4 linked regions of the Anolis sagrei genome follow. The protein of the gene in region 1 purifies or fractionates together with the protein of each later gene. This does not show direct contact. Links are inferred from orthologs where the notes say so. Each region holds a gene or a part of one and is shown in the gene's direction. Other genes may lie near its edges.

Region 1 (7,561 bases):
TATCATATTGACACTTTTTTTTGCTTTCTTCAATAGTTACACTTCTAAATGAGCCCGGGTTCAGTGTTGTTTTTTGGCCACATGGGAAAAATTGCCATTAAAAGGAACCCTTTCCCTTTTAAATGAATAATCCGGATTTCAACTGTTAATCCTCCGAATCTATACTGCCATATAATGCGGTTTGAAACTGCATTACACAGACAGTGTGGAGCCATAGAATACAGTTCTATGCACTGATCAGATGACTCAACTTTATTATATGCAGGTATATAGAATCACTGAGTTGGAAGAAACCTCATGGGTCATCCAGTCCAACCCCCTGCCAAGAAGCAGGAAAATCGCATTCAAAGCACCCCCGACAGATGGCCATCTCTATACACTAGTATATTATATATATCTCAATACACAAGCATGTGTATATATATTGCATTATATGTAATATAATATATAATTTTATCATATAATATGTATACATATTATATCATACATATAATCTTACATATATATATTTATATATATATATGTGATGCATATATGTGATATGATATATAATATTGTATATTATATTATTATATTATATATATATTATATTGTATATTATAATATCATATTGTATATTATATTATTAATGTATGTATATATATTATATCATAATATTATCTATCTATATATGGGTTGTTGTAGGTTTTTCGGGCTATATGGCCATGTTGTAGAAGCATTCTCTCCTGACGTTTCGCCTGCATCTATAGCAGGCATCCTCAGAGGTTGTGAGTTCTATATATGGTTTGAACAGAGCACGTCACTCCTACATTATATATATGTATGTGTGTGTGTGTGTGTATAATTTAGGAGTGACGTGCTCTGTTCAAACCATATATAGAACTCACAACCTCTGAGGATGCCTGCTATAGATGCAGGCGAAACGTCAGGAGAGAATGCTTCTACAACATGGCCATATAGCCCGAAAAACCTACAACACACACACACACACACATATATATAATGTAGGAGTGACATGCTCTGTTCAAACTATATATATATATATATATATATATATATACACAATTTAGGAGTGACATGCTTTTTTCAAACCATATATATATAGGCTGTTGCAGGTTTTTTCAGGCTGAATGGCCATGGTCTAGAGGCATTCTCTCCTGACGTTTCGCCTGCATTCAGGAGAGAATGCCTCTAGACCATGGCCATACAGCCCGAAAAAACCTACAACAACCCAGTGATTCCGGCCATGAAAGCCTTCGACAATACATACATACATATATATATATATATATACACACACACAGACACACACATTAATAATATAATATACAACATTATCTTATAATATTATATATTATATATAATGATGCAATTATTATTATTATACAATATTATATATGATATCACATTGCATATATATATATAAAAATATAATGTCATATACATTTTGTATAATAGATATTACAATACATGCATAATGTATATGATATTTTATATATAGCATATTATAACATTATATATACACTACCAAACTGCATTCGTTTGGTTAGATGCACGCTAAACTACCACACGGACAAAAACATGTGTTTGCTTTACATTCGCCTTAGGGCCAGATCGCCTTAAAGAAAAAGGCAAGAAATGCAATGTTTTGCAAAGGTATTTACCTCCATAACCCCTCCCCTCCCAAAGAATCCCGGTTTGGATATGTTTAGAACAGGCTTGGGCAAATATATATATATATATAGAGAGAGAGATAGAGAAAGAGAGAGAGAGATAGAATATTTATCTACCTATCTATAAAATATTATATAATTATAATTATAATTATAATTATAATTATAATTATATATATATATATATATATATATATATATATATGTATGTATGTATGTATATATATAGAGGGAATATCTATCTATATAATTAGATAATATTATATATATTATATATATAATATACAGATAATGTATATATCTATTTGTATGTATATATAGAGGGAATATCTATATAATATTATATATAATTATATATATTATATATTATAATAATTAATATATATAATATAATATAATATAATATAATATAATATAATATAATATATACTTATATATATATTACTAACCATCCCCTGCCACGCATTGCGGTGGCCCACTCTGGTGGTCATGAGGGTTCTGAGTGGGAGGCTTGGCCCAATTCTATCATTGGTGGGGTTCAGAATGGTCTGTGATTGTAGGTGAACTACAAATCCCAGTCAAGATTCTATTTTCCCCAAACTCCATCTGTGTTTACATTTGGGCATATTGAGTATTCGTGTAGAGTTTGGTCCAGATCCATCATTGTTTGAGTTCACAGTGATCTCTGGATGCAGGTGAACTACAACTCCAAAACCAAAGGACACTGCCCACCAAACCCTTCCAGTATTTTCTGTTGGTCATGGGAGAACTGTGTGCCAAGTTTGGTTCAATTCTATCGTTGGTGGGGTTCAGAATGCTCTTTGATTGTAGGTGAACTATAAATCCCAGCAACTACAACTCCCAAAGGACAAAATCATTTTGTTTGAGTGAAGGACATACATTGGGTTGTTAGGTGCTTTGTGTCCAAATTTGGTGTCAATTTGCCCAGTGGTTTTTGAATTCTGTTAATCCCACAAACAAACATTACATTTTTATGTATATAGATTAATCATAGAATCATAGAATCATAGAATCAAAGAGTTTGAAGAGACCTCATGGGCCATCCAGTCCAACCCCCTGCCACTATTACTATTATTATTATTACTATTATTATTATTATTATTATTATTATTATTATTATACATTATATAATAATTATTAGATAATATTATATATATATACACACACATATATATAGATAGAGCGAGAGAGAGGGAATATCTATCTATATAATATTATATATAATTATATATTGTTATTATACATTATATAATAATTATTAGATAATATTATCTCTATAAATAAAAATGTAATGTTCTTTTGTGGTATTCACAGAACTCAAAAACCCCTGGATGAATTGGCACCAAATTTGGACACAATACACCCAACAACCTTTCACTCAAAAAATTTTGATTTTGTCATTTGGGATTTATAGTTCACCTGCAATCAAAGAGCATTCTGAATCCCACCAAGGATGGAATTGAACCAAACTTGGCACACAGTTCTCCCATGACCAACAGAAAATAGTGGAAGGGTTTGGTGGGCAGTGTCCTTTGGTTTTGGAGTTGTAGTTCACCTACATCCTGAGAACACTGTGGACTCAAACAATGATGGATGTGGACCAAACTCTACACAAATACCCAATATGCTCAAATGTGAAAACTGGTGGAGTTTGGGGAAAATAGAATCTTGATATTTGGGAGTTGTAGTTGCTGGGATTTATAGTTCACCTACAATCACAGAGCATTCTGAACCCCACCAATGATAGAAATGGGCCAAACTTCCTACACAGAGTTTGGTCCACATCCATCATTGTTTGAGTCCACAGTGTTCTCAGGATGTAGGTGAACTACAACTCCAAAACCAAAGGACACTGCCCACCAAACCCTTCCAGTATTTTCTGTTGGTCATGGGAGAACTGTGTGCCAAGTTTGGTTCAATTCCATCCTTGGTGGGGTTCAGAATGCTCTTTGATTGCAGGTGAACTATAAATCCCAGCAACTACAACTCCCAAATATCAAGTTTCTATTATCCCCAAACTCCACCAGTGTTCACATTTGAGCATATTGAATATTGCTGTAGGCCACAGCAATGCGTAGCAGGGGACGGCTAGTATATATATGTGTGTGTGTATGTGTTTATTAGTATGTATGTATGTAGTTTTCCACTCGACAAGTACATCTCCCTCCATGGATGAAGTTCTGTGTGGACACATCTCCCTTCTTTGGAGGTTTTGAAGCATCGGTGACCATCTGTCGGGGGTGCTTTAATTGTGCTTCTCCTGCCTGGCAGAAAGGGGTTGGACTGGGTGGCCTTTGGAGGTCTCCTCCTTACTCAAGGGTTCTGTGAGTCGAAACAGACAGACGTCAACACGAGGGTGGCAGAAAGGAGCCACAAGGGGCAAGAAGTTGCCTTCCACCAGAAAGGAAAAGGAGGGTACAATTCAATCCCAAGCTCCAGCCCTTCTCTCCCATCTTCTCTCCCATCTTATCGCCTCTAATAGGGCGAGATGTGTGTGTTTGTAGGTTGAAAGAGGAGGCCCAAAAGGAGGAGGGAGAAGCCAAGGGGAGGAGGGAGGGCTTGACTATTGTCTCTCCAAAATTTGGGCAGCCCCCACCCCTACCCACCCCCCAAGGCCCTCCCACCGCTATTGTGGATTGAAGATGCGCCCGACCTGCTCCTCCTCCTCTTTCCTTTGGGTTTGAATCTCCCACCGCCTTCTTGCGCCTTCCCTTTCCTCCTCCCTCCCTCCCTCTCTCTTTTTCTCTCCCCCCTTCTCTATTCCCAGGCTGGCTGTGGGCAGAGAAGAGGAGGAGGAGGAGGAGGAGGAGGAAGAGGCTGCGTCCTCCCGACTCCACCATTTCCACCGGGTCGGCAGGATGGGCTCGGTCTCCAACCAACAGTTTGCAGGTTAAGTGAACGTTTTTGCCTCTGGGGATCCTGCTCTTTTCCTTCTTCCCTTCTTTGCCTTCCCTTCGCTCCCATCCCTTTCCTCTCCTCCAGGAAGGAAACCCACCCTGAGTTTGGGTTTCTCCGACTCTTGGCCCCCTTTTCCCTTCTTCTTTTTGGGAACGAGGGAAGAGGGCGGCCGGGCTACTTGGTTGCAAGGCAGACCATGTGCTTTTGCCTTCCTCCTCCTCCTCCTCTTTCTCCTTCTTCGACGGAGCTTTGGGAATCTTCCTCAACGGAACACAAACGAAAGGAAAAGAGGAGAGATGAAAGGCAAAAGGCATCCTCTTCCCCGACCCCGACCTTCGAGCATCCCTGTATTTTGTGTGGGTGGGTTTCCTTCTCCCACAAAGGAGGGGTGCCCCCGTTTCCCCATTTTGAGGGCTCTCGTGGGAATCCTTTGGGAAGGAGTTCTCGTCTTTCTGGAGAAGGGAATCCCCACTCTTTGAACCCATTCCTTCCGAGCGGAGCTTGGCACGGGCTTCTTCTGTCCCAGGCGGGTGAGGAGGAGGAGAACCCCCACTTGGCTGGGTCTCGGGGTCCAAGCGCCCTTCAACCTCTTCCTCCTCTTCTTCTCCTTCCTCTCCTTCCTTTTCCGCTTACTCTCCATCCTCCTCTTCTTCCTCCTCTTGTTCTTCTCCTTTTTACCTTCTTCTTCCTTTTCCACTTATTCTCCTTTATCTTCCTCCTCTTCCTTCTTCTCTTATTCCCATCTTTCATCTTCTCCTTCCTCCACTTCTCCCTCTTCTCCTTCCTCTTCCCCTTTTTCTCTTCCTCTTATTCTCCTTTATCTTCCTCCTCTTCCTTCTTCTCTTATTCCCATCTTTCATCTTCTCCTTCCTCCACTTCTCCCTCTTCTCCTTCCTCTTTTTTTCTCTTCCTCTTATTCTCCTTTCTCCTCTTCCTCCTCCTCTTGTTTTTCTCCTGCCCCGTCTTCCTCTTCTCCTTCTTTCACCTTTTCCTCCTCCTTCCTCTTCCGCATATTCTCCTTCCTCCTCTTCCTCCTCTTGTTCTTCTCCTTTTTACCTTCTTCTTCCCCCTCTTCTTCTTTTTCCTCTTCCCCTTATTCTCCTTTATCTTCCTCCTCTTCCTTCTTCTCTTATTCCCATCTTTCATCTTCTCCTTCATCCACTTCTCCCTCTTCTCCTTCCTTTTCTCTTTTTTCTCTTCCTCTTATTCTCCTTTCTCCTCTTCCTCCTCCTCTTGTTTTTCTCCTTCCCCGTCTTCCTGTTCTCCCTCTTTCACCTTTTTCCTCCTTCTTCCTCATCTTCCTCCTTCTCTTGTTCTTCTTCCTTTTCCCTTCTTCTTCCCCCTTCTTCTTTTTCCTCTTCCCCTTATTCTCCTTTATCTTCCTCCTCTTATTCCCATCTTTCATCTTCTTCCTTCCTCTTCTCCTTCATCTTTTTCCTCTTTCTCTTATTCTCCTTTCTCCTATTCCTCCTTCTCTTGTTTTTCTCCTTCCCCCTTCCTCTTCTCCTCTTCCTCTTATTCTCCTTCCTCATCTTCCTCCTTCTCTTGTTCTTCTCCCCTTTTCCTTCTTCTTCCCCCTTTTCTTCCTCTTCTTCTTTTTCCTCTTCCCCTTATTCTCCTTTATCTTCCTCCTCTTCCTTCTTCTCTTATTCCTATCTTTCCTCTTCTTCCTTCCTCCTCTTCTTCTTCATCTTTTTCCTCTTCCTCTTATTCTTCTTTCTCCTCTTCCTCCTTCTCTTGTTCTTCTCCTTTTTCCCTTCTTCTTCTTACCCCTCTTCTTCTTCTCCTTCTTCTTTTTCCTCTTCCCCTTATTCTCCTTTATCTTCCTCCTCTTCCTTCTTCTCTTATTCCCATCTTTCCTCTTCTTCCTCCTCCTCTCCTTCGTCTTCCTCCTCTTTTTCCTCTTCCTCTTATTCTCCTTTCTCCCCCTCCTTCTCCACTTGTATTCTTCTTTCCCCGCCTTCCTCCCCCTCTTCTCCCTCTTCTCCTTCTTTCACCTCCTTCCTCTTCTTCCCTTCCTTTCTCCTCTTCTCCTTCATCTTTTCCCTCTTCCTCTTATTCTCCTTTCTCCTCTTCCTACTCCTCTTGTTCTCCTTTCCCCCCTCTTCCTCTTCTTCCCCCTCTTCTTCTTTCGCCTCTTTCCTCCTTCTTCCTTCCTCCTCTTCTCCTTCCCCTTTTCCTTTTCTTCCCCTTTCTCTCCCTCCTCTTCCTTCTCTTATTCTCCTCGTCTTTCCTTTTCTTCTCCATCTTCCTCCTCTCCTCCTCCTCTTCTCCCTCCTTTTTCCTCTTTCTCTTATTTTCCTTTCCTCCTCCTCCCCTTCTTTTTCTTTCCTTTCTCCTTCCTCTTCTCCCTCTTACTCCTTCTCTTATTCTTCTATTTCCTGGTCTTCTCCTTATTATTCTTCCTACTTATTTTCCTTCCTCTTCTCCTTCCTCTTCCTACTCTTTTCCTCCATTTATTCACCTTCTTTCTCCTCTTTCCTCTCCTTTTCCTCCTTTTCTCGATCTTATCCTTCCTCTTATTCTCCTTCCTCTTCCTCTAATTTTTCTCCTTCTCCTTTCAACTCTTCCTCTTTTCCTCTTCTCCTTCCTCTTCCTCCTCTTTTCCTCCTCTTATTCACCTTCTTTCTCCTCTTTCCTCTTCTTTTTCTCCTTCCTCTTCCTATTCTTCCTCTTATTCTCCTTCCTCTTCCTCTAATTTTTCTCCTTCTCCTTTCAACTCTTCCTCTTTCCCTCTCCTTCTTTCCCTCTTCTCCCTCCGGCGTGACCCTCTTCCAACGGGGCTCTCCTCCCTTGCTCCTCCGCAGGGGGCTGCGCCAAGGAGGGTGAGGAGGGGCCCCGGGGGGACTCTCCGCTCCCCGAAGAGGACAGCCAGCCGCTCCTCCGCGGCGCCGGCATCTGCAAGTGGTTCAACGTGCGAATGGGCTTCGGATTCCTCTCCATGACCAGCAAGGAAGGCGCCACCCTCG
Region 2 (7,141 bases), on another chromosome or scaffold:
ACCTTTATACAGATTTTAATGGTTTAATTGTATTATCTATTAAACTGGCTTTAGCACAGCAAGTTTATCACCAGCTGCAGTAAATCTTGCCAACTGAAAGGCTGACAGTTTGAAGCTGGATCAGGGTGAGTTCCTGACCTTCAGCCAAGCTCTCCGCCTATCTAACAAATTGAAAACAGCAATGTGAGTAGATAAATAGGAACCACATTAACCGGGGAGGTATTTTAGGCACAGTGTTCAGAGAAAAGTTTACAAACACAAAAAGCTCTTCAGCAAGATGGAAAAACAGCACCCCTTGTGGCAGGAACCAAGCACAGCCTCCAAAGATGCTGAAGAAATGGGGAAAAGTCTATGTAATACCTCTGTCTGTTGTCTGTCTTGTCACTGTATAATCGGCATTGAACGTTTGCCATATACATGTTCTGTGATCCACCCTGAGTCCCCTTCAGGGTGAGAAGGGCGGAATATAAATACTGTAAATAAATAAATCAATCTATGGGGCCTGGCTGACTGACTTAGATGCTTTTAGCCAAAGATGTTTAAACTGCTTTAATTGTATGTTTCAATGTTTTCATTTCAATACTGTACACGACATTGAATGTTTGCCATTTTTGTTTATGGAAGCCATCCTGAATCCCTTCAGGGAGAGAGGGCAGGTTAAAATAAAACTTTATTATTATTATTATTCCAGTGGAAACACACAGCCCAGCCCTGTCCAGATGTGTGAGGGCTCACACTTCCATTATCCCCTGTGAGTGCTCATTCTTTTCCTCATCTCCCTTTGAGGACCCGTTTCCTAGGATGTGGAGATGCCACCTGCTACGATCAGTATTCAGTCTGCTCTTGGGCTCAGACATGCCAACCCTGAAGTCTGAAGCCATCGCTCTAGATCCAGGTCTAGAAGCCCTGCCCTGAAGGCCGGATCATCTCCTGCAGGACCAAATGGAGGAGGTGGTTCTGCTCAGGGCTGAGGAGTGGCCAGAGCTCCTTCTGCAGGGCCTTGAGGGCCAGTGTAACGGAGCAGCAGGTAGAGTTTGGCAGGAATGTAGCTGGGCGAGGCGTCCAGGGCCTCCCAGGAGTACTTCTCCAGGGTCTGGGCATGTTCGGGGAGCAGCTTGGAAGGTGGCGGCTGGAGCAAGAGCAGGGGGAGGACGCGGGTGACTTCGAAGCGGAGCAGTTCATCCAAGAAGGCACCTGGGAGTTGATGAATCGAAGCAGGAGAAGCAGAGGCGCCTTGGGCCTTAGTGAGCAGGGCCAGGGCGCCATCGTGGTCCCTGCAAAGGAGGAGGCAGGAGGCGGCCTGGCTGTGGGCCCTTTGAGGACCTGTTTCCTAGGATGTGGGAATGCCACCTGCTGCAGCCACTGTTCTGTGTGCTCTTGGGTTCAGGCATTCCCACCCTGCAGTCTGCAGCCATCGTTCTAGATCCAGGCCTAGAAGCCCTGCCCTGAAGGCTGAATCATCTTCTGGAGGACCAAATGGAGGAGGTGGTTCTGCTCAGGGCTGAGGAGTGGCCAGAGCTCCTTCTGCAGGGCCTTGAGAGTTGATGAACGGAAGCAGGAGAAGCAGAGGCGCCTTGGGCCTTAGTGTTTCCTAGGATGTGGGGATGCCACCTGCTGCAGCCTCTGTTCTGTGTGCTCTTGGGCTCAGGCATTCCCACCCTGCAGTCTGAAGCCATCGTTCTAGATCCAGGCCTAGAAGCCCTGCCCTGAAGGCCGGATCATCTCCTGGAGGACCAAATGGAGGAGGTGGTTCTGCTCAGGGCTGAGGAGCGGCCAGAGCTCCTTCTGCAGGGCCTTGAGGGCCTCCAGGTCCTTCTCCTGGCAGGCCATGACGGTAGACTGGAGCAGCAGGTAGAGCTCGGCAGGGATGTAGCTGGGTGAGGCATCCAGAGCCTCCCAGGAGTACTTCTCCAGGGTCTGGGCATGTTCGGGGAGCAGTTTGGAAGGCGGCGGCTGGAGCAAGAGCAGGAGGAGGACGCGGGTGACTTCGCAGCGGAGCAGCTCGTCCAAGAAGGTGCCTGGGAGTTGCTGAATGGAAGCAGGAGAAGCAGCAGAGGCGCCTTGGGCCTGTCCTTGGGCCTTAGTGAGCAGGGCGAGGGCGCCATCGTGGTCCCCGCAGAGGAGGAGGCAGGAGGCAGCCTGGCTGTGTGCCCGCAGCGCCTCCAGGGGCAGCTGGGCCAAGACCAGGAGCTCCCCCGCGCGGAGGAAGGCGGCCACGGCTTGGGCGGCCTCCCCGGCGCCGCGCAGCTCCTCGCCCAGCTCGAGCCACAGCCCGGCGGCCAGGGCGGGCTGCCCGAGGTCGAGGCGGAGTCGGGCGGCGAAGGCGAGGCAGCTCTGGGCGGCCGGGAGGTGGTGCTCGGCCAGGCCCAGCGCGGCGGAGGCAGGCCCGCCTTGGCGGAGGCGCAGCTCCCGCTCGTGCCGCAGCCACAGCCGGGCCGCCTCCGTCAGCGCCGCCGCCTCCCCCGGCGCGTGGCCCAGGCTCTGCGAGCAGCGCGCCACCGCCAGCTGGCACCAGGCCGCGTGGGGGAGGCTCTCCTGGGCGCGCAGCTCCCGAGCCAAGGCCCAGAACTGCTCCGCCGCCTCAGACACGTTGGGCTTGCGGAGGAAGCGGCGGCGAAGCTTGGCCGACACCGCCCGGTAGCGGGACAAGAAGTCTCCGCCCGCCCCGCCGCTGCCGCCTTCCCCCGAACCGAAGCCCGGAGGCGGGCCGGAGCCTGGAACAGACAGCATTCTCCCTTCCTCCCTTCCTTCCCTCAGGGATGCCAAAACAACACTGGAGGCGCGCTTCCGGTCCGGACGGGATGTGACGACACGCTCTCGCACTGGAGGACTCGGATGTTAAGAAGGGGGCGTGGCTAAGAGTGTGTTGCTATAGTGATGAGAGGGAGCTCTTGGACTAAGAGGAGGGCCTAGCACAGGCTGAATCATAGAATCCTAGAGTTGGAAGAGACCTCATGGGCCATCCAGTCCAAGCCCATTCTGCCAAGAAGCAGGAATATTGCATTCAAATCACCCCATATTTATTTGTCATGTCAGATTAACCAGTCAATTATATTACATTTCTAACAGAACAAAGCAAAAAAACAGATAAAATACAACACTTCTGAGTTTGGTACTATGTTAAATGTCCTTTGGACATTTAATCAACTACCAAGCTTGCAAATTCTATGTTTTGTCTGTCTGTTTGTTTTTGTTAAAAATGTAATACAAATGTATTGTCGAAGAGGAAAGGTGTTCCTGCCATACATCAAGGGAACCACTGACCGCATAGGGAAGCTGATGAGGAAACACAACATACAAACTATCTACAAACCCACCAAGAAAATCCAACAAATGCTACGTTCAGCAAAGGACAAGAGGGATCCTCTCACTTCTGCAGGAGTCTACCGTGTACCATGCAGCTGTGGACAAGTCTACATAGGGACCACCAAACGCAGCATTGCCCAGACACGCATCAAGGAACATGAAAGGCACTGCAGACTACTTCAGCCAGAGAAGTCAGCCATAGCAGAGCACCTGATGAACCAGCCTGGACACAGCATATTATTTGAGAACACAGAAATGCTGGACCACACCAACAACCACCATGTCAGACTACACAGAGAAGCCATTGAAATCCACAAGCATGTGGACAATTTCAACAGAAAGGAAGAGACCATGAAAATGAACAAAGTCTGGCTACCAGTATTAAAAAACTCTAAAATTATAACAGCAAAACAACAGAGAGGAAACAACCAGGCACAGATTAACACCTCCCAGCAACAGATTTTCCCAGGTTCAGGCAGGCCTTCAAATGCTAATGAAGGTGATCAGCTAAACATTCACACCTAACTGCAGCAGGGAAGAGCTCCTTGCCCCACCCCAGCCATTCCACAGATCTATAAACCCATTGTCCTATTTCCAACAGACCTCACTACCTCTGAGGATGCTTGCCATAGATGCAGGCGAAACGTCAGGAGAAATGCCTCTAGAACATGGCCCTATAGCCCGAAAAAACCCACAAGAACCTTGTAATACAAATGTCTGGTTGCTGATAAATAAATAATGAGGGTGCAATTTCCGGCGTGGCCACTAGGGGCGTTGTGGATCCCTCTGGCCAGTTTGTTTCCAGCCCGCCCTGGTGCCGCGTTGCCTCTCGGGAGCGGAAGTGGGCGTGGCGTCCCTTTCCGGCCGGAGTGAGCGCGCGGGTGTAGCGTGCTCCAGAGGCAGCGCGTGGCGGAGGCAAGATGGCGGACGGTGGCGCAGGTGGGTTCCTTGCTGTTTAAAGTTTAAGAGTCAGGGCAGGAGGAGGCTTTTGTTGAATTGGAGGAGGGCGCTTCCCCCCTGGGTCTGAGAGGAAGCATGCTCAGAAGCAGCCCTGTGAGGGCCACAAAGGGAGGGGAAGCACTCCATGTATGCTCAGAGGTAGCCTTGCCATCTTCCCTATCAGGGCCACAAAGGGAGGAGCAGCTTAGGCTTTCTCCTCCTCAGTCAATGGGGCGAGGAGATACAAAGAAGGCGTTGCAACCAGGCCTTGGGTACTTTGGGTCTTTTTGATGAGAAGAAAGAATAGTAGTAATAATAGCTATATAAATAAAAATGTAATGTTCATTTGTGGGATTAATATAACTCAAAACCCACTGGACGAATTGACACCAAAGTTGGACACAAGACACCGAACAACTCAATGTAGGTCCTTCATTCAAAGAAATTGATTTTGTCATTTGGGAGTTGTAGTTGCTGGGATTTATAGTTCACCTACAATCACAGAGCATTCTGAACCCCAACAGTGATGGAATTGAACCAATCTTGGCACACAGAACTCCTACGGCCAACAGAAAATACTGGAAGGGTATTTTTAGTGCCACGACTGACCATTATAGTTATTGATTGTAATTGCTGTTTTAATGTTTTACTGTAATATGTATTATGATGTTTTATTGATTGTATGTGATATTATGGTTGGAAACAGGTCTGAGTCCCTCAAGAGAGGTGAGAAGGCCGGTATACAAAACTTTTAAATAAATAATAAATAGAGTTTGGTGAGCAGTGTCCTTTGGTTTTGGAGTTGTAGTTCACCTACATCCAGAGAGCACTGTGCACACAAACAATGATGGATCTGGACCAAACTTGGCACAAATAATCTACACGAATACTCAATATGCCCAAATGTGAACACTGGTGGAGTTTGGGGGAAATAGAATCTTGACATTCGGGAGTTATAGTTACTGGGATTTATAGTTCACCTACAAACACAGAGCATTCTGAAATCCCACCAACGATAGAATTGGGCCAAATTTCCCACACAGAACTCCCATGTTTGCCACAGCAACGCGTGGCAGGGGATGGCTAGTATAAATAAAAAATGTAATGTTCGTTTGTGGGATTAACATAACTCAAAAACCACTGGATGAATTGACACCAAATTTGGACACAAGACACCTCTCAGGCCAACGAGTGGCCATCACTAAAAAAAGACTGAAAAACAGCAGAAGAGGCTTTAAAGCCAAAAACTACAATGCAGGCGCAAAACCACACACGCACATATATGCAAACACACATATTCACATTTTGCATGTACATCTATATAAATAAAAATGTAATGTTTGATTGTGGGATTAACATAACTCAAAAACCACTCGATGAATTGGCATCAAATTTGGACACAATACACCTCTCAGGCCAACGAGTGACCATCACTCATAAAACACTAAAAACACACACACAAGAGACTTAAAAAGCCAAAAAACACATTACAACAAATGCTTAAAACCACACATATATATGCAAACACACATATATACACATACACACAAATATATACACACTCAAAACACATCTACACAGGCTGGGCCACAGCAACGCATGGCAGGGGACATCTAGTTATTACTATTCTTTTATGTTTGTATTATTATTAGTATTCTTTCCTAATAATAGAATTGGCCTGAGAGGTGTCTTGTGTGCAAATTTGGTGTCAATTCATCTAGTGATTTTTTAAGTTATGTTAATCCCACAAACGAACATGACATTTTTATTTATATAGATTGGATGTAAGAGCCTAAGAGTCTGTTTTGGGAAGGACTGTAGGGATATAGAGATATATATCATAGACAGATATGGATAGATAGATAGATAGATAGTAAGATAGATAGATAGATAGATAGATAGATAGACAGACAGACAGACAGACAGACAGACGCTATATATCAGGCAAGGGCTAACTTTGGCCCTCCTGGTGTTTTGGACTTCAACTCCCACAATTCCTAACAGTGGGAGTTGGAGACCAAAATACCTGGAAGGCCCAAGTTGGCCCATGTCTGAAAGAGATAGATGGATAAATATTCTATAGGTTCAAATGTTCAAGCTTCATTATGTAAATGGCATGTCTCATCTATAAAACACTAAAACCAAAGTTTGACTTTTCAAAACATATTTTTTCAAAACATCTGTCCCTGCGTTCAGAATCTGTGGATGGCCAAACTACTATCCTCCACATGTTTGCGTCTAATGCTTTGAGCGGGATTGTATTGCGCCCTTTTCCACTTTCATGCCAAAGCCCTGAAGCACATGGAAGATTGATGGCGGCAACTGCTAACAGTACACTATGTAACAAAATTTGAAAAAAAAAATCTGCCCCTGATTTGAAAGTGTTCTTTCTAGTTTAATTGTGCGGTCTTTGAAAAGAGTTGTTCTACTCCAGAAACTGTCTGGAATTGGTTGAGACTATGTAAGATATTAGTTGAAAACCTATAGCAAAATAATCTGCAGGATCTCCGTCAAAATAATAATAATAATAACACACCTTTTTCATGTTTTTATGATAGAACTAATCAGGAAATGACATTTATAACCCAGGAACAAAAAATGTATTATTATTGTATTGCAGCATTAAAAAGTGTTCTTGTAACAATGCAAGTATGATATTGCAATTTAAATAACTGCATTGTTGCATATATATAGAGAGAGCAGAGAAAAAAGTAGCCCCCAAAGTTTTTAGTCTGTAGCAGCTGCTGCCATTGCCTTGTGGATAGTCTATGTATTCCATTCCCTCTGGTAGAAGGTGGCTCCCATTGTGCTTTCCATGCTTTTATTTTCTGCTCCTACCAATGTTGCTGATCTTGTAGAAGCTGAATGACAGTTGCAAGTGGTAAGAGCAGGAGCT
Region 3 (7,203 bases), on another chromosome or scaffold:
TAAATAAATAATCCAGATATTGTGGGATTTTCTGCATTGATATCCTGGGTTCTATGTCTGTGTGGAAGGGCCCTAAGTCATCTATTCCAGTTCAAAACAGATCATGTGGGGGCCCTTCTGGAGGAGACGTAGTTTTAAAAGGGAATTTTCAGAGATGTTCCAATGCTCATATGCTCATTCACTGCCACATTGCCCTATTTCTGCAGTATGCCTATGTTTACAAAAAATGCTGATTGAGAAATCAGTGCTCCAGAGAAGAAGTTACTATTCAAGGATAACAGTACATCCGTTCCAACTAGCTGGTGGCTAGTTAGAACTCCCAAGTTTCCCAGTAGCTCTGGAGTCATGTTGGCAACCGACTAACAGATAAATTGATTCATTAAGACAGTCATGGTCAGAGAACAATGGACTATAGTTCTTCTATAGTTGTGGCATTGTTAGGATCCCACGTGTGCTATTATGTCAATCAAAATCATAAACCACCAATGAGGAACCATCGAGCTATCTTAGACCAATGAAATTATTTGTCTTTGGGAACCAATGAGAATGTACGTGCCAAAAATGATAAAAACCCTGCAGTCCCAATGGAATTGCGACAAACCCTTTGATTGCATTCCTGTATGCTTCTTTGTCGATATTGCTAGGCCCGCAATAAAGCTTTTGTAGTAAGAATCCAACTTATGGCTACATTGGGCCAATGAGTGGACTCATAAGCTTGTGCATTTGGAGTGTCCCTGCATCTATGTCCCTTCACTTCCACACAGCTCTTTATCCCAGAATATTAAAGCAGAAAACTCCACAATATCTGCTTTGAAATTGGGATATCTGAGTTCACACTTGGATAAAGTGGGATTTTCTGCCTTGATGTTCTGGGATATAGAGCCCTTAGGGAAGTTTTCAAAGGATGACTTCATCTATATAAATAAAAATGTAATGTCCGTTTGTGGGATTAACATAACTCAAAAACCACTGGGGGAATTGGCACCAAATTTGGACACAAGACACCTAACAACCCAATGTATGTCCTTCACTCAAAAAATTGATTTTATCATTTGGGAGTTGTAGTTGCTGGGAATTATAGTTCACCTACAATCAAAGAGCATGCTGAACTCCACCAATGATGGAATTGAACCGAACATAGTACATAGGACTCCCATGATCAACACAAAACACTAGAAGGGTTTGGTGGGCATTGACCTTGAGTTTGGGAGTTGTAGTTCACCAATATCCAGAGCGCACTGTGGACTGAAACAATGATGGATCTGGACCAAACTTGGCATGAATATTCCATATGCCCAAATATGAACACAGATGGAATTTGGGGGAAATTAACATTGCCATTTGGGAGTTGTCGCTACTGGGATTTATAGTTCACTTACAATCAAAGAGCATTCTGAACTCCACCAATGATGGAATTTAACCCAACGTGGCACACAGGACTCCCATGACCAACAGAAAACCCTAGAAGGGTTTGGTGGGCACTGACCTTGACTTTGCGAGATGTTGTTCACCAACATCCAGAGAGAACGGTGGACTCAAGCAATGATGGGTCTGGACCAAACTTGGCATGAATATTCCATATGCCCAAATATGAACGCAGATGGAGTTTGGGGAAAATAAACCTTGCCATTTGGGAGTTGTAGCTGCTGGGATTTATAGTTCACCTACAATCAAAGAGCATTCTCAACCCCACCAATGACAGAATTAGGGCAAACTTCCTACACAGAACCCCCATGACCAACAGAAAATACTTAAGGCCATCCAGTCCAACTCCCTTCACCAGGGCAAGAAAACGTAATCAAAGTGCCACCCAGCCATAGATATTGATAGATAGATATGATTCACACACACACACACACACAGATATAGTATCATAGATTTAAAAGGAACCCCTAAAGAAGGACAATGATATGTTGCATATTCCAGAGTAGGCAAACCAGACAATCTCCACATCAACACTGACAAAGAAACAGCAAGAAATACTGTTTACCCACAAGCATAAAGAAATTAGATATTAGAAACCAACACTTTCTCATTACTTTATTTTCCAGATCACCAGACTAGGCCACAGCAATGCGGGGCAGGGGACGGCTTGTGTTTAATATTTCCAAACTCTTAATATTACTTCAGGTCTCCAAAGGGCATGAGGAGCATCACATTTGGGAGTGAGTTGCTTTGTGTGGGATGTGGCAGTGTGGCATCTTAACCCTACACCACTGGAGAAATTACACTGTTTACCACCTGACATCCTGACATCCGCCAGGAAGTAGCAAACAATAGTGAAAGGACCAAGGCAGTGACATCTCCAGCTCATCCCGTTTGCATATCAGCCAGCACGTCAATGACTTAAATCAAGAAACAGTTTTCTAAGATCTACAGACACACTTGCTGGAACACCTCAGCAAGCGGGAGTCCAAAAGTGGCAGGCTCAAACCCAGAACCTCAATCAGTGGCTGATACCAAATGAGAGACTCCCCCCCTGGGCGACTTGGAAGGCACTGAACAGACTGCGCTCTGGCACCACGGGATGCAGAGCCAACCTCAAGAAATGGGGCTACAAAGTGGAATCCACGACATGCGAGTGTGGAGAGGAGCAAACCACAGACCACCTGCTGCAATGCATCCTGAGCCCTGCTACATGCACCATGGAGGACCTTCTTGCAGCAACACCAGAGGAACTCCAAGTGGCCAGATACTGGTCAAAGGACATTTAATCAACTATCAAGTTTGCAAACTTTGTGTTTTGTTTGTTTGTCTGTTTGTTAAAAAATGCAATCCAGCTGTTTGGTCTGCTCCTAACACGATTTATTTATTTGTCGTGTCAGGGTAACCAGTCAATTGTATTACATTTCTAACAGAACAAAACAAACAAACAAACAGACAAAATACAAAATTTGCGAGTTTGATAGTTGATTAAATGTCCTTTGACCAGTATCTGGCCACTTGGAGTGCCTCTGGTGTTGCTGCAAAAAGCTCCTCCATTGTGCTTGTAGCAGGGCTCAGGTTGCATTGCAGCAGGTGGTCAGTGATTTGCTCTTCTCCACACTCGCATGTCGAGGATTCCATTTTGTGGCCCCATTTCTTGAGGTTGGCTCTGCATCTCGTGGTGCCAGAGCGCAGTCTGTTCAGCGCCTTCCAAGTCACCCAGTCCTCTGTGTGCCCAGGGGGGGGGGGAGTCTCTCATTTGGTAACATCCATTGGTTGAGGTTCTGGGTTTGAGCCTGCCACTTTCGAGCTCTCGCTTGCTGAGGTGTTCCAGCGAGTGTCTCTGTAGATCTTAGAAAACTATGTCTAGATTTAAGTTGTGATAATGCCGCGATAATGCGGCATGTCGGCATGTCTCATTAAGAGCCACATCCACTGTTTTAATGTGGTGAGATGTGTTCCACACTGGGCATGCATACTCAGCAGCAGAGTAGCATAGCACAAGGGCAGATGTCTTCACTGTATCTGGTTGTGATCCCCAGGTTGTGCCAGTCAGCGTTCGTATGATATTGTTTCTAGCGCCCACTTTTTGCTTGATATCCAGGCAGTGCTTCTTGTAGGTAAGAGCACGGTCCAGAGTGACTCCCAGGTATTTGGGTGTGCTGCAATGCTCCAGTGGGATTCCTTCCCAGGTGATCTTCAGAGCTCGGGATGCTTCTCTGTTCTTGAGATGAAAGGCACATGTCTGTGTTTTGGATGGGTTAGGGATCAGCTGGTTTTCCCTGTAATAGGCGGTAAGGGCACCTAGAGCTTCAGAGAGCTTCTGTTCAACCATCTCAAAGCTCCCTGCTTGAGCAGTAATGGCACGATCATCAGCATAGATGAAACTCTGTCCCTTCTGGCGGTGGCTGGTCATAACATGATACACAGTGGCTGGTCCTAACACGATAAATAAATAAAAATTCTTAACCATAAGGTGCCCTTCCACACTGCCCTATATCCCTGAATATCAAGGCATAAAATCCCACAGTATCTGCTTTGAACTGGATTAGCTGAGTCTACACTGCCACTGTTCAAAGCAGAAAATGTGGGATTGTATTGAGCTGTGTGGAAGGGGAAACACGAGAAGGACAGTCCGGATTAAAGACAATCTTTCTTCTGTGACGAGCAAAAGCACTTTGAAAGGGGACAAGGAGGGAGATCCAAGTGCGCATGCGCAGGGGAAACGGCGCCCCCTCCCTTCCCCGCGCGGCAACGTTCTCTTCCGTCGGCTTCCGGTGACGGAGGGGACTGCGCGCGCAGCCTGAGGCCTGACTTCTTGCCTCGCAGCCGTTTGCCCGTCGCCTCAGCTGCGTTCTCGCCCTCTCTCGCCGCCAAGATGCCGCGGATTATGATCAAAGGGGGCGTGTGGCGCAACACCGAGGTAGGGAAAGCAGTCTCGAACCCGCCACGGCGTTCTCCTCCCGGGGGAGGGTTCTCTCACACGGCTGCGCCCAAAACAGGCTCTTTGCCGCGCTAGGCCAAGACCCTTCAGAGGCACCTCATAAGCCTCAGTCTTCACCCTCCTCAAAAGAAACCCAGTTGAGGCTGCAAGGGGGGGGGAGTACAGAAAAGGGGGTCCCTCCTCAGCATTAGGAAGAACTTCTTGACTGTAATATCTGTTCAGCAGTGGAACTCTCTGCGTCTGAGTGTCTTGGAAGCATAGAAACAGGCTGGATGGCCATCTGCCGGGGCTGCTTTGATTGTGCTTCTCCTGCATGGCAGAATGAGGGTGGATTAGAAGGCCCCTGGGGTCTCTTCCAATTTACGATTCTGTCATTTGCAGCTTTATTTCCTGCTAGTTTGGGTACTCAGCAATGCCCGTGTTATTATTTTATTATTATTATTATTTATTGTTTTTATACCCCGCTGCCATCTCCCGCAGGACTCGGTGTGGCTTACAAGAGGCCAAGCCCAACAACATCATAAAAAACAACAACAGCAAACGATAAATAACTCAAAAAAGCAAAACAATACAATAATGACACAACACATTTTAAAACATAAGGCAGGGCCAAATGTGAAAGTTTTAATAGTTAAAAGCTGGGAAGTTTAAAGGGGATAGGAGGAATGTTTTTGGAAAGGTGGACGTGCAGGCAGTTCTGGATCTCTCATAAAGTGCATTGAGGACATATTGCTAGGATTCCTTATTCTGGGAAGGCACACTGGAACATCCACGTTTTCAAGCTCCTTCTAAAGACTGCCAATGTTGGGGCCTGCCTGATGTCCCTGGGGAGGGAGTTCCAGAGTCGTGGGGCCACCACCGAGAAGGCCCCGTCCCTCTTCCCCACCAATCGCTCCTGTGAAACAGGTGGGATCATGAGCAGGGCCTCACCAGATGAATGAAGAGATCGTGTGAATTCTTATACAGAAATGCAGTCAGGAAAAAGGCTTTTTTTTTTTTTTGATTGTGAGGTAATATCAGTTTGGTCATTTGCAACGCTATTTATTGGGAGAAAAGACCGTCTTTCCTTTTTTTAGAAAATGCATCAAGATATGGGTGAACTACAGTTCCAAAAATCATAGCATTATTTTTTTAAAAATTAAGTTATTACGTTTGCCCCAGCCATAAGTTTTTAAATGCTTGTGTGTTGTTGTTTATTTTTTGTTTATGAGATTTATATTAACTGTTTTTGTATTGATTGTTTTGTTATTGCCTTTGTTTATTGATGTAATGGCTTGGCCTCATGTAAGCCGCACTGAGTCCCTTGGGGAGATGGTAGCAAGGTATAAATAAATTTTTATTATTATTTATTATTATAGGTCAATCACCCCCAACCCTCGCCAGTGTTCAGAATTGACCACGGTGGGTCTGCATGCCAAGTTTGGTCCAGATCCATCATCCATCTGGATATGGTTTTCACTGGATGTGGGTGAACTATAATTCTCGGATTCCAAGGTCATTAAGCCACAAACCTTGCCAGTATTCAAAGTTGGCTGTTTTGGGTCTGTGTGCCAAGTTTGTTCCAGATCCATCATCAGTGCAATTCAGAGTGCTTTCAGGATGCAAGGTGAACTACAACTCCCACCTGGATGGGTCAGTCCCCCCAAATCCCTCCAGTATGTTCTGTTGGTCACCAGAGTTCTGTGTGTCAAGTTTGGTCCAGATCTGTCATTGGTGGGATTGCAGTGGTCTCTGGAAGTGGGAGCCAATTGGAAGTTTGCCACAAACATACAGACCCACCCACATACATATACATACACTTTTATTATATAAATAGATTTGGGGAAATAGAGACCGCATTGAATCTTGAGTGTTATCTGCAAATTTGGTCACCTTATTCTCACTTTTAACTTTAGAGCATCTCTAAATAATAATAACAACACTTTATTTGTACCCCGCTACCATCTCCCCAAGGGACTTGGTGCGGCTTACATGAGGCCGAGCCCAAATACAACAATACAAGCAATAATAACAATACAAGCAATTAAAATAAAACAAAACATGGACAATAAAATAATGCAACATTAACAATAATCTCTAAACATAACAGACCTTTGAGAAATCCACAGGTCCCATTTTCTACAGGAATTGTTTAATGATATGATCTGTAAAACACCTGCAAATGTTTGGTTTGAGGTTTAGATGTGTTTGAAGCACGTTGACTTTAAGATCATCTGGGGAGGCCCTGCTCTTGATCCTGCCTTTATCACAGACGTGTTTGGCGGAGACAAGAGACATGACCTTCTCAGTGGTAGCCCCTCGGCTATGGAACGTCCTCCCCAGAGATATAAGATCAGCTCCCTTCTAATATTCTGCAAAATGGTTAAGACCTGGCTGTTCGAGCAGGCTTTTACTACTGGAGCATGATTAGATGAAAATGTATCATGGAATGTCTGATGATGCAATTGGATCACGATTTCAGTAAGGAGATGTTGAGGACTTATTTTTATAAATATTATGGTTTTTATATTTTTAATGTTGAACTGTTTTATAACTTTTTAAATAATTGTTTTTAACTGTATATCCTGTTATTATGGTATCGAGTTGCTGCCGATTGTGAACCGTCTTGACTTGCCCTTGGCTGAGAAAGACGGTATAAAAACCCAGTAAATTAATTAAATAAATAAATAAAATTGTGTTACTCTTAATTAATTAGTACTTAATTTATTATTTATTTATTTTCAGTATTTGTATACCGCTTTTCTCATTCCGAGGGGGACTCAAAGCGGTTTAGACATAAATAATGGCAAAAATTCAATGCCAATACAAACAATTACAATTATACACTACAATTA
Region 4 (6,837 bases), on another chromosome or scaffold:
ACTGAAATAACACTTCTGAAACACTGCAATATGTTTTTGTGCATTGGCATATCTTTGTCCCTAACAGTTCAAAGAGGTATCTAGGTATATCAGTGTGACAGCTGAGAAACCTAAGTTGCTTTGCATGAATACTACTGGATCTTTGCCACTAAGGAGAAGGTTGAGTTAAGCTAGTTTTAACTCTTTTAACTGGAGCCCGCAGTGGCACAGTGGGTTAGACCACTGAGCTGCTAAACTTGTTGACCAAAAGGTCGCAGGTTCGAATCAGGGGAGTGGGGTAAGCTTCCACTGTTAGCTCCAGCTTCTGCCAACCTAGTAGTTTGAAAACATGCAAATGTGAGTAGATCAATAGGTACCACTGTGACGGGAAGGTAACGGCGCTCCATGCAGTCATGCTGGCCACATGACCTTCGAGGTATCTACAGACAATGCTAGCTCTTCAGCTTAGAAATGGAGATGAACACCGCACCCGAGTTGGATACGACTGGACTTAATGTCAGAGGAAAAAAATTACTTTTACCTAACTTTTCTGTGTGCGACTTGGAATGCACTGAACAGACTGTGTTCTGGCACTACGAGATGCAGAGCTAATCTTAAGAAATGGGGCTACAAAGTGGAATCCACGACATGCGAGTGTGGAGAAGAGCATACCACTGACCACCTGCTGCAATGCAACCTGAGCCCTGCTACATGCACAATGGAGGACCTCCTTGCGGCAACACCAGAGGCACTCCAAGTGGCCAGATACTGGTCAAAGGACATTTAATCAACTACCAAGCTTGCAAACTTTGTGTTTTGTTCTGTTAGAAATGTAATTGTCTGGTTGCCCCTGACATGATAAATAAATAAACCTAACTCTTCTTAGGAAGATTATAGTTTACAAACAACAAGGGCATGCCTTTCCAAAAGGTTCTGAATATCCATTTTCCAAAATAATTACTTGTAGTAAAGGAAAATTGCAATAAATATTTTCTCTTTCCCACATCCAAATACTTTTAAAATAATTGCCTCTTACTCTTGATTGGATGGTTCTTTCTCCCATTCAGCAAATATGTGTATATGAAATTATATAGCCAGTAGCCACACTTCCATTTGTAATGAACAGTGTCCAAATGTGAATTTTGAAAACACACACATACACACACAGAAATTCAGCATTGTGTTGTCAAAGGCTTTCATGGCTGGAATCACTAGGTTGCTGAGAGTTTTCTGGGCTGTATGGTCATGTTGCAGAAGCATTCTCTCCTGATGTTTCACCTGCATCTGTGGCAGGCATCCTCAGAGGTTGTGAGGTTTGTTGGATACTAAAAATGGGAAAAGTTTATCAAACTGCACAAAGTGTTCTTGAAGGCTTTCATGGTAAGAATCACTGGGTTGCTGTGAGTTTTCTGGGCTATATGGCCATGTTCCAGAAGCATTCTCTCCTGAAGTTTCACCCACATCTATGGCAGGCATCCTCAGAATTGAGGGGTCTTTTGGAAACTAAGTTAGTGAGTTTTATATATCTGTGGAATGTCCAGGGTGAAAGAAAGAACTCTTGTCTGTTTGAGGCAAGTGTGAATGCTGCAATTGGCCACCTCTATTTGCATTGAAAAGCTATGAAAAGGAAACCATAAAAATGAACAAAATCTGGCGACCAGTATTTAAAAATACTCCAACATCAGAGCAGTAAAGCAAGAAAGTCTGTTCTTGCTTTATTTATTTACTTATTTACTTCATTTATATACCGCTTTTCTCAGCCCTCAGGCGACTCAAAGCGGTTACTTTACTGCGTACCTGTGCAGATGTATCTCCTTCTAAGCAAGTGTGGATGTTGCAATTAATCTTTCTCCCACCCTGGACCTTTAACAGACAGATAAACCTCCCTTGCCTAATTTCCGACAGCCCTCACAACCTCTGAGGATGCCTGCCATAGATGTGGGTGAAACTTCAGGAGAGAATGTTTCTGGGACATGGCTATAAAACCCTATACGGTTCTGGCCCTGTCAGAACGTATCTCCTTCTACATCCCACCTTGGAGTTTAAGATCTTCTGGGGAGGCCCTGCTCTCGGTCTGCCTCTGTCGCAAACGAGCTTGGTGGGGAGGAAGGACAGGGCCTTCTTGGTGGTGGCCCCCTGTCTGCAGAATTAGATTATCAAAATTCCTCCTTTCCTTTAGAAAAAAGTTAAAAACATGGATGTGGGACCAGGCTTTTGGGTAATATTGCTGACAATGATGACAATCGCTATGGAAATAGACTATGGACAAACTACAGAGAAAGCCACCAGGCTGTTATGGAAACACATTTTAATTAATTAATGTGATTTAATGTTTTAAATGTATGTAATTATTTGATTTTATTATGTATTTTATTATAATTGTTGCCAGCTGGAAGCTGCCCTGAGTCCCCCCCCCCTTCCGGGGGGTTGAGAAAGGCGAGGTACAAATATAAATAAAATAAATAAACAGTCCGGAAAACTCACAGCAACCCAAATTCAGCATTCACCCATATTGTGACTCTGGGATAAAAGAAAAAGAGGGAAAGCGAGGGGATTTCCTCCTAAGGAGAGAGAGCCCTTGGTCACAAAGTGTGGGAAAGAGGGTGCTTTGGCTGAGGGGGAAGTCCACTAACGAAATTCGTTTTAAGCCGGAACGAAACCGGGTTACGAAACGTGGTGTGGACGGGACTTCCCTATGAGACGCCTTCCCCATTTGGGAATACGCACAATAGGAAGACCTTGGACCTAAGAGGAGGGTGGAAGTTTCCTGTTGGCTTTCCCAGCCTCCCCTTTCCTTCCTTCCTCTCTTTCCCTCCCTTTCCTTGAGCTCCGGCGGAAGTGGGTCCGCTCCTTCGGAGATTCAAAGGATTCCGTGCTTGGGATCAGTTTCACGCGAGGCATTCTGGCCCAAAAGCGGGCGAGAGAAAGGCACGGGGGGGGGGGGGGGAGAAAGGGAAGGAGATCCTCCGCTGGATCCACAAGAGGGAAGGAGAAAAGGGGGAGGAAGGAAAGAAGGGGCAACAGAAGGAGCAAAGAAATAAAAAGCCTGAAGGGAGTGGAGGAGGCTAATGGCGCAAATACCACGCACCTTTCCTCCCTTGTGGATTTTTGATCCGACCTTTTTGTTTCCAAAACGTGAAGGGAGGGTTTGAAACCAAACTCCCGCCACCACGCGAGGAAAAGGGATCTGACAAAGGAAACGCGATCCTGAGGCCGGGACCGGTTTCGCAAACACGCACTCCCCCCACTTCTTTTCCCTTCCCCCGCTTTCCGCGTCCTCCATGAATAAGAATTATTCTCCTTCAAGGCAGGAGGCTTGTCTCTTGGAAGGAGGAAGAGGAAGCGCGTGGGGTCCAAAAGGAGGAAGAAGAGAAGGCCTCGTCAGTGCCAAAGCGGGAATGGCGTGGGGTGGCGGAAGAGCAGTGGTAGCGTAAGGTCACGCTGCTCGTCTGTCCATTCATTCATTCATTCATCCACCCACCCGGCGGCTTTGGTGGGTTTTCGGGCTGCCTGGCCATGTTTTGAAGCATGATCCCGGCCAGGAAAGCCTTCGACAATACAAAGAAGCTGCTGCCGGCTGCCGTGTTCGCTCCCTGCTTCAGCCATGCGGGGCTGGAAAGAGCCCTAGCCTGAGGTCACGCTGCTCGCCTTATCCATTCATTCATTCATTGCCTTTGGAAGGAAAGAAGCTGCTGCCGGCTCCCTTCTTTGCTCCTTTTCTCGGCCATGCGGGGCCGGAAGGGGATTGGAGTCCCGCCCGAGCCCTCCTCCCACCCGAGCCTCGTGCAGGGAGCCCCGAAGAGCGAGGAGTGAAGGCAACGACCCCCCGCCCCCGGACGAAGACAAGGCGACAGACCTGATGGACTGTTCCTCCCGGAAGGAGGAGGAAGGGCTTGAAAGAGAGAGGCCTCCAAGGCGGCCACTGCGAGAGCGCCCCAAGAAGCTAAAGGAGGGAGAGAGGAGGGGGTGGGGGTCTTTCTTGATGCCACTCCGGGGGGTCTGCAAAGCGGGGTTTCCTTGCTAGTCTCAAGGAACAGCTCGAAAGAGATACAGAAGGCGGCAACTGCGGGAGCGCCACAAGCAGGAGGAAGAGAGGAGGAGAAGGGGGAGGGGGTCTTGTGAGGGGTCTGCAAGCAAGGAACAGCCTGAGAGAGAGATACAGAAGGCGGCAACTGCAAGAGCCCCCCAAGGAGGAAGAGAGGAGGGGGGTGGGAGTCTTCTGAGGGGTCTGCAAGCAAGGAACAGCTTGAGAGAGAGATCCAATTGCAAGAGCGCCCCAAGAAGCTGAAGGAGGAAGAGAGGAGGAGGGGGTGGGGGTCTTCTGGATGCTACTCCGGGGGGTATGCAAAGCGGGGTTACCTTATTAGCGTGAAAGAGACACAGAAGGAGGCAACTGCGAGAGCGCCCCAAGAAGCTGAAGGAGAGAGGAAGGGGGGTCTGCAAAGCGGGGCTTCCTCACTAGTCTCAAGGAACAGCCTGAAAGAAAGACACAGAAAGAGGCAACCGTGAGAGCGCCCCAAAAAGTTGAAGGAAGAAGAGAGAAAAGCGGCAATTGCAACAGCGCCCCAAGAAGCTGAAGGAGGAAGAGAGGGGGGGGGGGTCCCTTTGATGGCACACCGAGGGGTCTGCAAAGCGGAGCTTCCTCGCTAGCCTCAAGGAACAGCTTGAGAAAGAGATCCAGAAAGCGGCAAGTGCGAGAGAGCCCCAAGAAGCTGAAGGAGGAAGAGAGGAGAGAGTGAGGGTCTTCTGGATGGTAGTCCGAGGGGTCTGCAAAGCGGGGTTTCCTCGCTTGCCTCAAGGAACAGCCTGAAAGAGATACAGAAGGCAGCAATAGCGGGAGTGCCCCAAGAAGCCGAAGGAGAGGAGGGGGAGGGGGTGGGCTCCTTTGATGGCACACCCAGGGGTCTGCAAAACGGGGCTTCCTCGCTCGCCTCAAGGAACAGCTTGAGAGAGATAGAAAGCGGCAATTGCGAGAGCGCCCCAAGAAGCTGAAGGAGGAAGAGGTGGGGATCTTAATGCCACTCCGAGAGGGGTCTAGCTAGCCTCCCCTCCCCTTTCCCCCTCCCCCATGGCTTCCTTCCCGGAGCCGCACTTCCAGATCTGCCCGCTGTGCAAGGAGATGTGCGGCTCGCCGGCGCCGGCCTCCTGCAACAACTCCTCGTCGTCGTCCTCCTCCTCCTCGTCGCAGACCTCCGGAGGAGGAGGAGGAAGTGGCAACCCTGTTGGTGGTGGGCCCGGCGCGAGCTGCCCTTCCTCCTCCTCTTCCTCGTCCTCGCGGCGGCGCCTGCTGGTTCTGCCTTGCTTGCACGCCTTCTGCCGGCAGTGCCTCGAGGCCCAGCGCCAGCCCCCGCCCTCCTCCTCCTCTTCCTCGTCTTCCTCCTCCTCCTCCTCGTCTTCTTCCTCCTCCTCCTCCTCTTCCTCGGGGGACGCCCCTCTCCAGCTGCGGTGCCCCCTCTGCGACCAGAAGGTGGTGATCTCGGAGCCGTCGGGCATGGACGCCCTGCCCTCCTCCAACTTCCTCCTCAGCAACCTGCTCGACGTCGTGGTCGCCGCCGCCAACAACGCCAACAACGCCAGCGAGGAGCAGAACAACGGCAGGCCCAGCGGACCCGGGGGAGGGCCCGGAGGGGGGCCCGGAGGAGGAGGAGGGGGGAACAGCACCAACAACAGCAGCAGCAGCGCCAACAACAACCGGCACCACCAACACTCCCGGCAACAGCAGCAGCAGCGCCCGCCTTCTTCTTCCTCCTCCTCCGCCAGCGCAGGGGCTTCATCCCCGGGCTCGTCGTCGCTGCTGCTGCTCCGGAGGCCGCACAGCCGCCAAGGCGGGGATCCCCGGTGCAGCTCCTGCGACGAAGGCAACGCCGCCAGCGCCCGCTGCCTCGACTGCCAGGAGCACCTCTGCGACAACTGCGTGCGCGCCCACCAGCGCGTCCGCCTCACCAAGGACCACTTCATCGAGCGCTTCGGGCCCGGCGCCGCCCCGCAGAGCCAGAGCCTCGTCGCCGCCGCCGCCTCCTCCTCGTCCTCCTCCTCCGTGGGGCCCGCCTCGGCCCTCGGCTCGCCCTACAGCATCCTCGCCGCCGCCTTCCCGGACCGGGCCAGCTACTGCCAGCAGCACGACGACGAGGTAAGAGAGAAAGAGAGAGAGAGACCCCACTTTGCCCCCTCCCTCAACGCGCCTCAGGCTGCGAAGGCCTCTCCTCAGCATTACTATTGTTGTGAAGCGCGTGGGGGCAAAGTGTTCGCCTTCGAAGCTTGCCTCACTTATGGCGACCCTGAGGCCAACTTAGGGTCCACCCGAAGGCCTCCTCATAGGCTTGTGGAGAGGCGTGTCACGACACTTATTGTTCTGTGTTGTGGTATATATGAGGTATGGGCCAAGTTGGGTCCTCCAGGTGTTTTGGACTTCAACTCCCACCATTCCCAACAGCCTCAGACTCTTTCCTTTTCCCCCTCAGCCGCTTCAGCTTTGGACTTCAACTCCTATCATTCCCAACAGCCTCACCCCTCTTCCTTTTGCCCCTCATGCCCTTAAACATTGGACTTCAACTCCTACCATTCCCAACAGCCTCAGACCTCTACCTTCCCCCCCCCCCCCGCCACTTAAACGTTGGACTTCAACTCCCAACCTTCCCAACAGCCTCAGATCCTTTCCTTTGCCTCCTCAGCCGCTTCAGCATTGGACTTCAATTCCCACCATTCCCAACAGCCTCAGACCTTTTCCTTTCCCCCCTCAGCCGCTTAAATGTTGAACTTCAACTCCCACCATTCCCAACAGCCTCAGGCCCTTTGCTTTTCCTCCTCAGCTGCTTCAGCATTGGACTTTAATTCCCACCATTCCCAACAGCCTCAGAC

The links.
Region 2: the proteins of LIN28A (region 1) and DKC1 purify together in Homo sapiens (affinity purification with mass spectrometry; 3 studies listed by BioGRID and IntAct, with this or other methods). This does not show direct contact. The link is inferred for Anolis sagrei from reciprocal best matches to the Homo sapiens genes LIN28A and DKC1.
Region 3: the proteins of LIN28A (region 1) and CDC5L purify together in Homo sapiens (affinity purification with mass spectrometry; 3 studies listed by BioGRID and IntAct, with this or other methods). This does not show direct contact. The link is inferred for Anolis sagrei from reciprocal best matches to the Homo sapiens genes LIN28A and CDC5L.
Region 4: the proteins of LIN28A (region 1) and TRIM71 purify together in Homo sapiens (affinity purification with mass spectrometry; 3 studies listed by BioGRID and IntAct, with this or other methods). This does not show direct contact. The link is inferred for Anolis sagrei from reciprocal best matches to the Homo sapiens genes LIN28A and TRIM71.

The regions. Positions count from the first base shown.
Region 1 is NC_090034.1:73,558,712-73,566,272, forward strand, and holds the start of LIN28A (protein lin-28 homolog A), read left to right. Parts: upstream 1-4,552; coding exon 4,553-4,583; intron 4,584-7,399; coding exon 7,400-7,561. UniProt on the Homo sapiens protein: RNA-binding protein that inhibits processing of pre-let-7 miRNAs and regulates translation of mRNAs that control developmental timing, pluripotency and metabolism.
Region 2 is NC_090030.1:15,196,711-15,203,851, forward strand, and holds the start of DKC1 (H/ACA ribonucleoprotein complex subunit DKC1), read left to right. Parts: upstream 1-4,138; 5' UTR 4,139-4,226; coding exon 4,227-4,245; intron 4,246-7,141. Other genes in the region: 40-kDa huntingtin-associated protein-like, read right to left, coding at 1,693-2,730.
Region 3 is NC_090021.1:147,842,986-147,850,188, forward strand, and holds the start of CDC5L (cell division cycle 5-like protein), read left to right. Parts: upstream 1-4,203; 5' UTR 4,204-4,303; coding exon 4,304-4,348; intron 4,349-7,203.
Region 4 is NC_090026.1:81,420,157-81,426,993, forward strand, and holds the start of TRIM71 (E3 ubiquitin-protein ligase TRIM71), read left to right. Parts: upstream 1-3,817; 5' UTR 3,818-5,047; coding exon 5,048-6,109; intron 6,110-6,837.